Macaca mulatta: one gene and its partner. The protein of the gene in region 1 purifies or fractionates together with the protein of each later gene. This does not show direct contact. Links are inferred from orthologs where the notes say so. Each region holds a gene or a part of one and is shown on either strand. Other genes may lie near its edges.

What was found.
Region 2: the proteins of RHEB (region 1) and RPTOR purify together in Homo sapiens (affinity purification with western blotting, with the first as the bait; 3 studies listed by BioGRID). This does not show direct contact. The link is inferred for Macaca mulatta from reciprocal best matches to the Homo sapiens genes RHEB and RPTOR.

What each region holds. Positions count from the first base shown.
Region 1 is NC_133408.1:190,941,212-190,947,075, reverse strand, and holds the start of RHEB (GTP-binding protein Rheb), read left to right. Parts: upstream 1-1,903; 5' UTR 1,904-1,954; coding exon 1,955-2,006; intron 2,007-5,864. UniProt on the Homo sapiens protein: Small GTPase that acts as an allosteric activator of the canonical mTORC1 complex, an evolutionarily conserved central nutrient sensor that stimulates anabolic reactions and macromolecule biosynthesis to promote cellular biomass generation and growth.
Region 2 is NC_133421.1:90,242,019-90,248,167, reverse strand, and holds the start of RPTOR (regulatory-associated protein of mTOR), read right to left. Parts: upstream 3,389-6,149; 5' UTR 2,611-3,388; coding exon 2,449-2,610; intron 1-2,448. UniProt on the Homo sapiens protein: Component of the mechanistic target of rapamycin complex 1 (mTORC1), an evolutionarily conserved central nutrient sensor that stimulates anabolic reactions and macromolecule biosynthesis to promote cellular biomass generation and growth.

The DNA of each region.
Region 1 (5,864 bases):
AATAATACATATATAGCATATCTATAAATATATATACCGACGCATGCACTTACACACACTTACCCTTACTCGTTTTTTTAACTCACCACTGTATTAATGAGGACACATACTTACCCTTACTATTCATAATGCAGTTTTCTATTCTGTTCTATTTTTTTTTAAAAAAGGTGAAACTAAACTGATTTGATAATGCAAGGAGTTTAGTAGCATCTGTTCAAAAACACTGTGGTGAGGATATCCGAATCCACAGGATAAAAACGACACATTTTACAGGAGAGTACAATTTAAGACCTTTAGTTTTAAAACACTTAAAATAACTGTAGCGTAAACCTCAACATTTCATGAAAACATAGAACTTCCAGACATTGATCACTTCCGGCTGGCTGCCTGGGGTTTCCATCTGTAGATCCCCAAGGACAAGAATGCACACCCCAGCCCCTATCGGATGCTTCCGTGGGAAAGCTGGAGGGAGTCGCTCTTGGGCTGGGTGTTCCAATTCGACTCCAGTCACCTCTAAACCTTCCTACGCTGGAATACAAGGCCTGCTACTCAGTTTCCCTGGGCTTCATTCCTCCCTACCGATCACTGGGAAAGGGCGAAGGGCCATGCCCGGCCTCTGCAGGTCCCCACTGCCAAACAGCCTCGGCAGAATAGGGGCGGGTTCCCCGGCGCGGCGGAGCCTCTGCTAACTCGGCAAGTGCCAAGCCCACCAGCAGCCACCACTCCGGGCCTGCCTGGAGGCTCGTCCCTCAACGGCACCTGCGTTCCCGGCCCGGATTCTCTTCCCGCGCCCCTCTGCACTGCACCCCTGGGAAGGCTGTGCCCACACCGCGGCCCGAGGCGTTCCTGGCACCCGGCTCCGGCCTGCCCGCCGCACCAGCCGCCCTGGCGCTGGCGGAGAACCGGCTTCCCGCCCCGGCGTTGTTCCAGGATGTGCGCCGAGCTCCGCGCGAAGCGAAGCAGACACCAGAACTGACGAGGCTCGCCCTGTTTTTAATGAAATTCCTAACACTTTGAATTAACGCAGACTCCATGCTTCCCACAGTCCTTCGGCCGTGGGTGACGCTTAGTCACCACTACATCCTCAAACCCAGACACGAACGCTAACGCAGCTCAAGGGGAATTTTCAAAAAAGCCCCGAGGGAGGAGCTAGCCCAACCACCGCCCGCCCCGGCCACGAGCCTCGCGCCCTTCACGGGCTCAGCGGGCGCGAACCCGCCAACCGCTCAGCTTATCACCAATCACCGCACCTCCCACCTATTGCCCCGCCCTGCGCTCCGTTCCGGCCAATCACCGGGGAGCCACCGTTTGTCTCTCCGCCTCTCCCGCCCGCCCCCAACCGGTTGGAAGTTTGAAGCCTTCAAACCTCGCCGGCGCCCAACCGCGCTGTAGCAGCGCGGTGTATTTTTAGCTCCTGGGTGGCCAGCCCCGCCTCCTCCGCCCCGCCTCCTTGCCTCCCCCAATGGGAGATGGAGTTTCTGACACGTCATCGCGCGGCTGTGCAGGTGCCGTCCAATCGGCGCTCGGGGAGAATGGCGTAATTAAAAAGCGGCGGAAGAAGGTGGGAGGGTCATGACGCAGCGAGTTTCAGTCGTGACTTTTCTGGGGGCATCGCGGCGTCCCCTTTTTTTGCCTTTAAAGTAAAACGTCGCCCCGACGCACCCCCGCGTATTTCGAGGGGGCGGAGGCGGCGGGCCACGGCGCGAGGAGGGGCGGTGCTGACGCCGGCCGGTCACGTGGGTGTGTTGTGGGGGGAGGGGCGCCGCCGCGCGGTCGGTTCCGGGCGGTTGGGAGCGCGCGAGCGAGCGAGCGAGCGAGCTAGAGGCAGCCGCGCCCGCCGCCGCCCCTGCTCTGTATGCCGCTCTCCCCCGGCGCGGCCGCCGCCGATCGCAGCAGCAGGAGCCGCCGCCGCCGCGGTTGATGTGGTTGGGCCGGGGCTGAGGAGGCCGCCAAGATGCCGCAGTCCAAGTCCCGGAAGATCGCGATCCTGGGCTACCGGTCTGTGGGTGAGTGGCCGGTGGTCGCGCGGCCTCCTCGCGCCGCCGGGGCCTCGCCTGGAAGCCGGGTCGCTGCCGGGCCTGCGAAGTTTGGAGCCGGCGCGGCCATGTGGCGGGGCGGGCGGGGGCCGCGCGTTTCGTAACCACCATTTTGAGCGGAGGTGGTGGCGGTCGGGGCGGCGTCCGCACCGGTCGAGGAGCTGCGGTAGCCGGGCGCCCTCCGCGGGCCGGGCGGGCAGGTGGCGGCCGGGCGGAGGGCGTGGGAGGCGCGGGGCGGGGGCCGCCGGCCGCCGAGGAGTCCGGGGCTCGTCTGGGGAAATGAGGCGGCGCCAGGGAGCCGCGCTAGAGGCTCCCGCGAGGAAGGAGTCACACCTGCCTCCCCGCCTTCGCCGCGGGCGCGCGTGACCGGGGCTGGCGGTCTCCCCCACCCCGCCCCCGATGCAAGGAAAAGAAAGTCCGTGGGATTTTAACAAAGGAAGCAGCACCTCGGCTTCATTCCATCTGTGGTGAAGTTTACCCTTGTAAAGAAAACTAGGGACTTAGAGAACGTTTGGTCTCTGGACGCAAGTTTTGTACATAGGAAACCTAGGCGAGCCCCCAAAAGAGGCCCCTCTGGAGGCCCTGGAGATGCTGCTGGCGGCCCGGGTAGGAAGGCAGAGAAAAAGGAATGTCTGATCTCTCAGTGGCCTATATTTCTTCGGGAAGGAATAAGGTCAGGTACTTGCAACCACGCTGTTGAAGTAATTCCGAAGTCTTTTTGTTTTCTTTTTCTTCCCCCAAAAGGTTGACGTACATTTGAAACGGTTCCTAGCGTCGCCTTACTGCTGAATAAGGTGGCTTAGGGTCGGGTTGGGGGGCGGACGGGGTGTCACAGAACAAGCGGTTTTCTGGCCTGTGAGAAACCGGAGCGATCGAACTTAGACACGCTTCAGGGTGAGGCTGTATTGTCTGCCGACATCCGGAAGCCTGGAGAAATTACGTTCATCTTTTCGGGCTGTTTTGAAGTAACTGTCTATAGAAGACGTGCGCCGGGCCACATTTGGGGGGATGGGGAGGTGAAAGCGAGGGTTCAAAGGCTCCGGTGATTGCGGAACGGGGTGACAGCATGTGTCGTGGGAAGCTTGTACCTGCCAGCCGCTCGCGGGATGCACTCCCCAACTGCGCTTTCCACCGCCGGTGCCAGGGTCTGTGCTCTTTGACCAAGATCAGCCACTGCATGCTTACTCATCCTTTTACTACCTCTCCGTCGAGAGCTGGAGGAAGTCAAGGGCTGAGAGAAGCTTGGCTAGAGATGCGGGGTGCCCAGAGTCGTAGGGGGAACTCTTGTGCGATGCGGTGCTGCAGCCAGGAAGTAACCACGAATCAAATGGAGGGGTTCAAAGTCACTAACTGTTCAAATATCTACATGGAACCTGGGATCCAACCTTTATTGGCAGCCTGAATCCATGCTCTTGTCTCTGTTCTCTTGATTTCCTCCTCTGCATTTTGAGGAGTTGGGAGCGCGAGGTGTCCTGGCTCTTGGGTGAGCCCTCCCTAGTCAGTCAAGTAAGTACTTATTGCCAACTATTTGAAAATAGCCCCTGAATAATCACATTATGGTCAAGTACCTCGGCTACTTGATTTCAACCCAAGAGAATGACCTAAAGATCCTGACTGATTTACCCTTTTAAAATGTTGAAATGGTAGCTCTAGTCTTTGGTAAGCAGGGCTAGTTTTATCACTTTTTGGTGGGTTTTTTTTGGTTGTTTTTTTGTTTTTTTGTGTTTTTTTTGCTAAAGAAGTTCCTTGTGTCCAGTTGAAATCCATTCTGTTTTATCTTCCCCTCTATTCAGCTTCCTCCTGAGGACGGAGATGTGACAGGACACCCCTTAGCCGTCTCTTCACAAGCATTATTTTAAAGTGCTGCTTGTTAAATACTGTGCTAACTTAGTCTTCGGTGGGTTACAGGGTCACTTTTAGTCCCTATTTTGTGTCTTCAGTATTTCATATTTCTGCAACCTACCCCACTTCTCCATACTTATTTTCAAGCGTAGTCATATTAAACGATTTTGGAGAGGTTAAGTTGCTCCCAATCTTGTATTTGATTTTTTTTTTTTTTTTTGAGACAGAGTTTGGCTCTTGCCACCCAGGCTGGAGTGCAATGGCGCGATCTTGGCTCACTGCATCCTCCACGTCCAGGGCTCAAGCGATTCTCCTGCCTCAGCCTCCAGAGTAGCTGGCACTACAGGCATGCACCACTACACCCGGCTGATTTTGTATTTTTAGTAGAGACAGGTTTCACCACATGGCCAACCCTCAGGCTGGTCTCAAACACCTGACCTCAGGTGGTCCTCCCACCTTGGCCTCCCAAAGTGCTGGGATTATAGGCGTGAACCACCACACCCAGCCCCATTTGATTTTAAAGTGTATTATGAGCCGGGATATTTTGTAGTTTGTGGGGTCTTTTGCAGGGGAAGGAGATTAGGTTTTGCCAGCAGGTTTCGTCTAGTAAGCCACCCTTTTGAGGATTACTCAGCATGCTCACTTCTGGGAGCTTGCAAATGGTGCTATACCAGAGAAATCTGAGCACATGTGTTTCTAGATTGTGGTCTTTTGTGATGCTGAGCTGTTTTCTCCTATATTCTGGGGGTAGAGCCATAGAAAAAGGCTCCACATCTTTCTTAGAATGTTCTCTTAAGTACATTAAACCAGTTTGACTAGTAGGATACTTGTCATTGTGACTTTGTCATGCCACAAACTTTATTTTTAAAGTTGTCTTCAGCTAAAACAACAAAATGCTATGTTTGTTTTACTAGTTGGCTTTCTCTTTTTTTTTTTTTTTTTTTTTTTTGGAGACAGAGTCTCATTCTGTTACCCAGGCTGGAGCGCAGTGGTGCGATCTCGGCTCACTGCAACCTCTGCCACCTGGGTTCAACCAAGTCTCCTACCTCAGCCTCCCAAGTAGCTGGGATAACAGGCGCCTGCCACCCCGCCCAACTAAGTTTTGTATTTTTATTAGAGACTCGGTTTCACCATCTTGGCCAGGCTGGTCTTGAACTCCTGACCTCGTGATCCACCTGCCTCGGCCTCCCAAAGTGCTGGGATTACAGGTGTGAGCCACCATGCCCAGCCCTCTACTTGGCTTTCAGGTTTTTGTCAGAACTACCAATAGGGAAAATATAATTTTCAGGTAATCTATACAATTCTCCCTCCCAATCTCCTGTACTTTTCCTGTTCTTTACAATGTTAAAGCTTTTAAGGACATGTCACCTGTAACTCTGGGAGTCTGGCTTTCAGGGAGTGCTTTGTATTAACTGTTCCTGTGGTGGCCAAAAGTACCAGCTCCCTGACATTCCGTTGTCTCTACCACAGCAGAGTAGTCCCGCAATAGGAAGTAACTAAACTTAAGTTAAAATGGTAGTGTTACGTAAACTATCTTCAGTCTGGTACGTGTTTCACTGGGATTTTACCTGTACAGAGAGCTTTGGTAACCTAGTTTATCATTAGACCGTAATCAAAAGCTGGTTGTCATATATAAGCCTCTTACATACGGTTAATAAGAGGGGTGGGATCACAGGCATGTGAAAGATCATAGGGGGAAAATGAAACAGCTTTGTGGTTTGGAAGAAGGCAATTCAGCAAAAGTACTCAAATTATTACTTTGTCAAAATGTTTTGGGTAGTATTTAGAGTCTCCATGAGGAAAGATGTCATTAAATATTTGGTTGTTCCTAGCAGATTCTGACGTACTGTTTATTTTTTAAGTTAACCTATCATTTGATGACACTTTTTATTGAAAAATTGAAAGGCAAAACAATATTTGCTATGTATGAAATCTACCAGTATGTGAAATTGTATATTCAGGTGCTTAATATTCTGATGTTGTATA
Region 2 (6,149 bases), on another chromosome or scaffold:
ACAGTGAGACTCCCCAACCCCAGGCATAGTGGCGCACACTTATGGTCTCGCTACTGGGGAGGCTGAGGTGGGAGGATCATTTGGGCCCAGGAGGTCGAGGCTGCAGTGAGCCGTGTGATCTCACCACTGTACTCCAGCCTGGATGACAGAGCAAGACCCTGTCTCAAAAAAAAAAAAGAAAAGAAAAGAAACAGAAAAACACTCCACAAATGGGCTTTGTTCAGCCTACAGTGTTGGACTACAACGTGTTTGGTAATATATCTGAATTAGTAAGAATATTTACAAATTGGAAGACTTTACATTTAAAAAAATAAAAGTTTGCTGGCTTCTCAAAGACAAAGAAAGAGAGAGGCCTGGCCAAGGCCCAGTTGCCTTCAGTTACGGCATCAGGGAGCTCCCGTTCCCACCCTCCAGAAACTGTCACACACACTGTGTCAAATGTCAGCTGCCATTTATCTTTATCTGTGAACCTATGCCATTATTCTTCTTAAATGTGGCCTGTTTCATTCACTTATGCTACCTTCTCACTCTTAGTATCATTTGAGTTTGCAACTTCTGTCCTATAGGGTGTGTGAAACGGTCCATCAAGGTCTGACCTGAGGGAAGAGATGACAAGATTCCAAACTCCCACAAACTCAACTGAAGATGTTAGCTGCTGATTTTCTCCACTGAAAAACAGATACAGCAAACTTTCTCCCCAGCTGCTTTCTAAGCAACAATCTCAGTAGTTACTAAGAGTCACAGAACTTGTTTCTCTTAACAATCTGTGAAAAGCTTATTATGGAATGTTGATCATTCACAAATTAATGTTTTAATTAAAAGATCAAATATATACCCATTAATCAGTTTCGAACAGTTGGAACATAGGTTTAGGACAGCAGAGGGAACCACATTTCAAAAGAAAAAAAAAAACTGCCCTCTACACAGAATTTTTTTTAAAAAAAGTATTTTCACATATGTATAGCAACCACAAAAGCTTTTAACTATATAATTACTACTAAAGATGTCCATAAGATAGAATATACAACCTCCCCCAATGTCTAACTTATTTAACTCCTTAAACTGCTTTTCGATGAAACAAATTTTTCTAATCTTTTAGAAGTAAGCCAAATCAGTAACTAAAGTACTGCTTACTACTGACAGACTAGAGTTACCAGAAGTGTAATCTTTATTTATTTATTTATTTATTTTTGAGACAGAGTCTCATTCTGTCTCCTAGGCTAGAGTGTAATGGTACGATCTCAGGTCACTGCAACCCCTGCCTCCCAGGTTTAAGCGATTCTCCAGCCTCAGCTTCTCGAGTAGCTGGGATTACAGGCAGCTGCCATCAAGCCCGGCTAATATTGGTATTTTTAGTAGAGACAGGGTTTCACCATGTTGGCCAGGCTAGTCTCAAACTCCTGACCTCAGGTGATCCACCCGCCTTGGCCTCCCAAAGTGCTGGGATTACAGGTGTGAGCCACCGCGCCCAGCCCAGAAGTGTAATCTTATATATGTTCATCATCATATATGAAAAAACAATAATATTCCATAAACATATACATAAGCCTAAAGGAAATCAAACCTTGTAACACCAACTTCCTCTTTTATACCACTGAAACGTGCAAATAAATAAAAGCAGCCTGGAGGGAGAACATAACTTACCAAAAGACAAATTATAAGTGTGCATACATGAGAAGCAGTACCACCCTTTTGCTTTTGAGACCAGGAAATAGATGGTATCTTATGAAGGATAAATTCAACAAAATTCAGCTGTTTTCTTTCCTACCAGCTGCTTGTGAATCACTCTCCACACTCCAACACCATGAGGACAACCTGAAACCTGCAGTCAATGCCTCATACCCTAACTCACAATTAAAGAAATCCTGTCTCCAAGTTACAGCAACAGGACCCTACATAAAAGGAGGAAAGTCTAGCTTCAAGACAAATTGTTGAGAAGACTAGAATGAAGTTCACTGTAACTTTAAAATAACTTTGCACTAATTTGTTACTAGTTGAACATTTTCCAGTAATCTCGTTTCCTAGCATAGTATATCAGACTTCTGCACTTCACCCAGCTTGGAAATTTTACAAAGTAGACTAATTATGTGGGTATAAGCATTATATCGCACGTTGCCCTTCCTCTAAGTGTTAACAGAACAAAGTAGTATGCCGAAGAGCATGTAAATACTCGCAATGCTGTATTTCAAATTTGCTTAACTTTTATTATCTGAATCAGAACTTAGTTGGAATTGAATTAACACTACCCAGTGAATAACGACTAATTAAAACAGCCTTTCCCATTTTCAGCCAAAAACTGCAGTCTGAAATGGCTTTTGCTTTCTAATTGACTTACAACGTGTGGCTGGGGGGAAATGTCAGCGCTTTCCCAAGGACACTTTTCAGGCTGTAAACTTTCTTTGTTGGAGAAACTACCAAGTTCAAGGGGTGCCTTCAGAATCCACTTACCCGATCCTTCATCCTCCAGCTTTGAGCTAAGGATTTGGAGCCTTCAATTTTCTCACAGTGCCTCTTTTTCATAAAAGCCAAAGGTAGGTTCCAGTCTGTAAGATCAGCCTCATCTTCCTCCCCCAGGCCCAGAAGAGGCGACTGCAGCATTTCGGACTCCATCAGTGGGGGAGGGGGTGGGGGAGTCCTTGGCAGCAAGCGCTCAAGAACCTCCAGCCTTAAAAACTAGCGTGTACCAGAATTGGTGAAATAAGAAACAGAAAAACGGGGAATCGAAAAACAAATGGATGGAGAGTGCGGAGACCCTTACTCAGGCAAAAAGTCTGAGATCCTTATCTCTAACTCTGGGCGGGAAGTGGGGAGGTGGGGGCCGCTAGGAAATGGGGCAGCCCAAGAAGCTCCGCAGACACACACCAGCCCAAGTCCCAAGCCACTGGCTGCTCCTGGGGCTGCACGTTTCCAGAGGGGCTGCGAGCGGAGCTGTCAAAAGCGTAAGAGACTTCAGGCCTCACGATGACCCTGCTCTCGGCCTCCAACGCCTCAGCAGTTCCGAGGACAGGCAGGCCGCTCTTGGTGCCGGTTCGCCCACTGGGCCGAGGTCTCCGGCCAAGGGATCGGGTTCAAAGGGCCCTGGGTCTCCTCCAGCCACTCTCAGCCCTGCGGGTCCCGCACTCGTCTGAGCTGCCGCAACCAGAGCCAGGACCGGCCCATCGTGCTCGCCCGCACCCGGTTCCTCAACCTCAGGTCCGCGCGGCCTGGCTGGTCCTGGCCTTCAGCCCCGAGGCTCTCTCCTGCCTGAGAACGAGTCCTGAGAAACAGGCGACACGGAACCACGGAGAAAACGGACAATGAGGGCTTACTGGGTCAGGGGAGCTTTGCCCTCTGGTTTGGAGCTACAGGGAAACTCATCTCATCAGCACATCAAGGAGGACGCCATATTGCCAGGACCCAGAATGCACCGCGGCCTACGGCGTGGCCGACAGACCAAACCTCCTCAGAGCGTTCTCGCCGCGCCACCCAACAAGCAGTGAAGGAAAGGGAGTCCCTGACCCCATTACCTCGGTTACCGTAATTCCGTTTTCCCCAGTTAATCGCCATTTGTTCAGTAGAGGCGTGTTATTAAAGTCAGTCCTACAAATGAAACTGTCGGTTTAATTTATTTTTTCAAAAACATTGTTATTATAAATGAAGCTACATGCTCCTGAAATTAGAGGAATCAACCGCCTTGTTTCTTCCAGATTTTGAAAAAGCGGCAAAAGCTTCAGGAAAAAACACTGATAATATTAGAAAATATAGTACTTTTTTTTTTTTTTTTTAATGTAGTATCTTCCACAGTGTCAATCAGATTTTCTCTTTTTCGTAGAAAACCAAGTGAAAGGCTGGGCGCAGTGGCTCACGCCTGTAATCCCAACACTTTGGGAGGCTGAGGCAAGCAGATCACAAGGTCAAGAGATCGAGACCAGCCTGGCCAACATGGTGAAACCTCCGTCTCTACTAAAAATACAAAAATTATCTGTGCATGGTGGCGCACACCTGTAGTCCCACCTACTCGGAAGGCTGAGGTAGGAGAATCGCTTGAACCGGGGAGGCAGAGGTTGCAGTGAGCTAAGATCAGGCCACTGCACTCCAGCCTGGGAGACTGAGCAAGACTCTTCAGATGAAGAAGGGTCCGAAGCAAGATTCGATGAAAAAAAAAAATTCATCGAATACAATTCTTTGTTTAATCTGTTTCATTTGCTGAGCAGTTTATCCTTTGTAAATTTCTTTTCTCCTGTCTCAGCCTCGCGCACCACCACGCCCGGCTAATTTTTTGTGTTTTTAGTAGAGACGGGGTTTCACCGTGTCAGCCAGGATGGTCTCGATCTCCTGACCTCGTGATCCGCCCGCCTCAGCCTCCCAAAGTGCTGGGATTACGGGCGGATCACGAGGTCAGGAGATCGAGACCATCCTGGCTGACACGGTGAAACCCCGTCTCTACTAAAGAATACAAAAAATTAGCCGGACGTGGTGGCGGGCACCCGGAAGGCAGAGCTTGCAGTGAGCCGAGATTGCGCCACTGCACTCCAGCCTGGGCGACAGTGTGAGATTCCGTCTCAAAAAAGAAAGAAAGAAAAGAAAGAAATTCTAAGTGAGCACGTTGAAGTCCAAACCCACCAGGTGGTCAGAATCGCCCAGGAAACTAAAAATCAGGATGCCCAGCTTCCGCCCCAGACCCCCAGATCGGGGAGCAGGGAGACTGGGATTCAGAATCTGCACTTTTTTTTTTTTTTTTTTTGCAGTTTTTACAGTTTTATTTAAACACCAAACACGCACATGTGTCTACTCATTTTCTTCGCTGCGCAGCCTGGCATGGGGGACAGTGACTCTGACAGCCAGCTAGGCGGCTCTTTCCACAATGGCTTCGCGGTTCCTGGAGGAACGCTGTGAGCGATCTCAGCGCAGTAAGCTTTGTTGCACATCAGCAGCAAGCTCCCTGACGTTGTAGACCATGAACTTCCGGAAGCCAGTGGGCAGCATGGGCTTTGTTTTTTTGTTGCTCCCATAACCAATGTTGGACATCAAGATCTGACCCTTGGCCAGGCGCAGTGGCTCACACCTGTAATCCCAGCACTTTGGGAGGCCGAGGCGGGTAGATCATGAGTTTAGGAGATCGAGACCATCCTGGCTAACACGGTGAAACCTCATCTCTACTAAAAATACAAAAAATTAGCCGGGCGTGGTGGTGGGTGCCTGTAGTCCCAGCTACTTGGGAGGCTGAGGCAGGACTCTTTGCCAGGCTGGTCTCGGACTTTTGACCTCAGGTGATCCACCTGCCTCAGCCTCCCAAAGTGCTAGGATTACAGGCATGAGCCACCACGCCTGGCCTCAACAACAACAACAACAACAAAAATGTTTAAATTAGCCAGGCATGATGACATGCATCTGTAGTACCAACCACTCAGGAGGCTGAGGTAGGAGGATCACTTGAGCCCAGGAGTTTGAGGCTGCAGTGAGCTGAGATCGCACCACTGCACTCCAGCCTGGGCAATCAAGCAAGACTCTGTCTCAAAAAAAAAAAAAAAAAAAAAGGCCGGGCGCGGTGGCTCAAGCCTGTAATCCCAGCACTCTGGGAGGCCAAGACGGGTGGATCATGAGGTCAGGAGATCAAGACCATCCTGGCTAATACGGTGAAACCCCGTCTCTACTAAAAAAGTACAAAAAACTAGCCGGGCGAGGTGGCGGGCGCCTGTAGTCCCAGCTACTCGGGAGGCTGAGGCAGGAGAATGGCGTAAACCCGGGAGGCGGAGCTTGCAGTGAGCTGAGATCCGGCCACTGCACTCCAACCCGGGCGACAGAGCGAGACTCCATCTCAAAAAAAAAAAAAAAGGCAGAATAACCCTTGGCCTGCCTGAACACAGTGGGAGCACCTTATCCTACAATGTAAAGGTAGAGACCAGATGACTCCTTCTGTCCCTAAAACTTGGACTGTTTGACAAATAGAATTACAGATACAGCAAAGTGAGCAAGAGAACAAATATAAAAACCTGAGTGTTGGGGGCAAATATGACAGAAGGTAGGAGTGAATGCAGGGAGAAATGCGGGGCAAATGGGAGTGGGGGTTGCATAAATAGCTCAGATATATAGCCTTTACCAGGAAGAACTAAGACAGCTGGATATTCGGTCTCTGAGTTCAGCATTGACCCACTGCAACTGACCTAGTC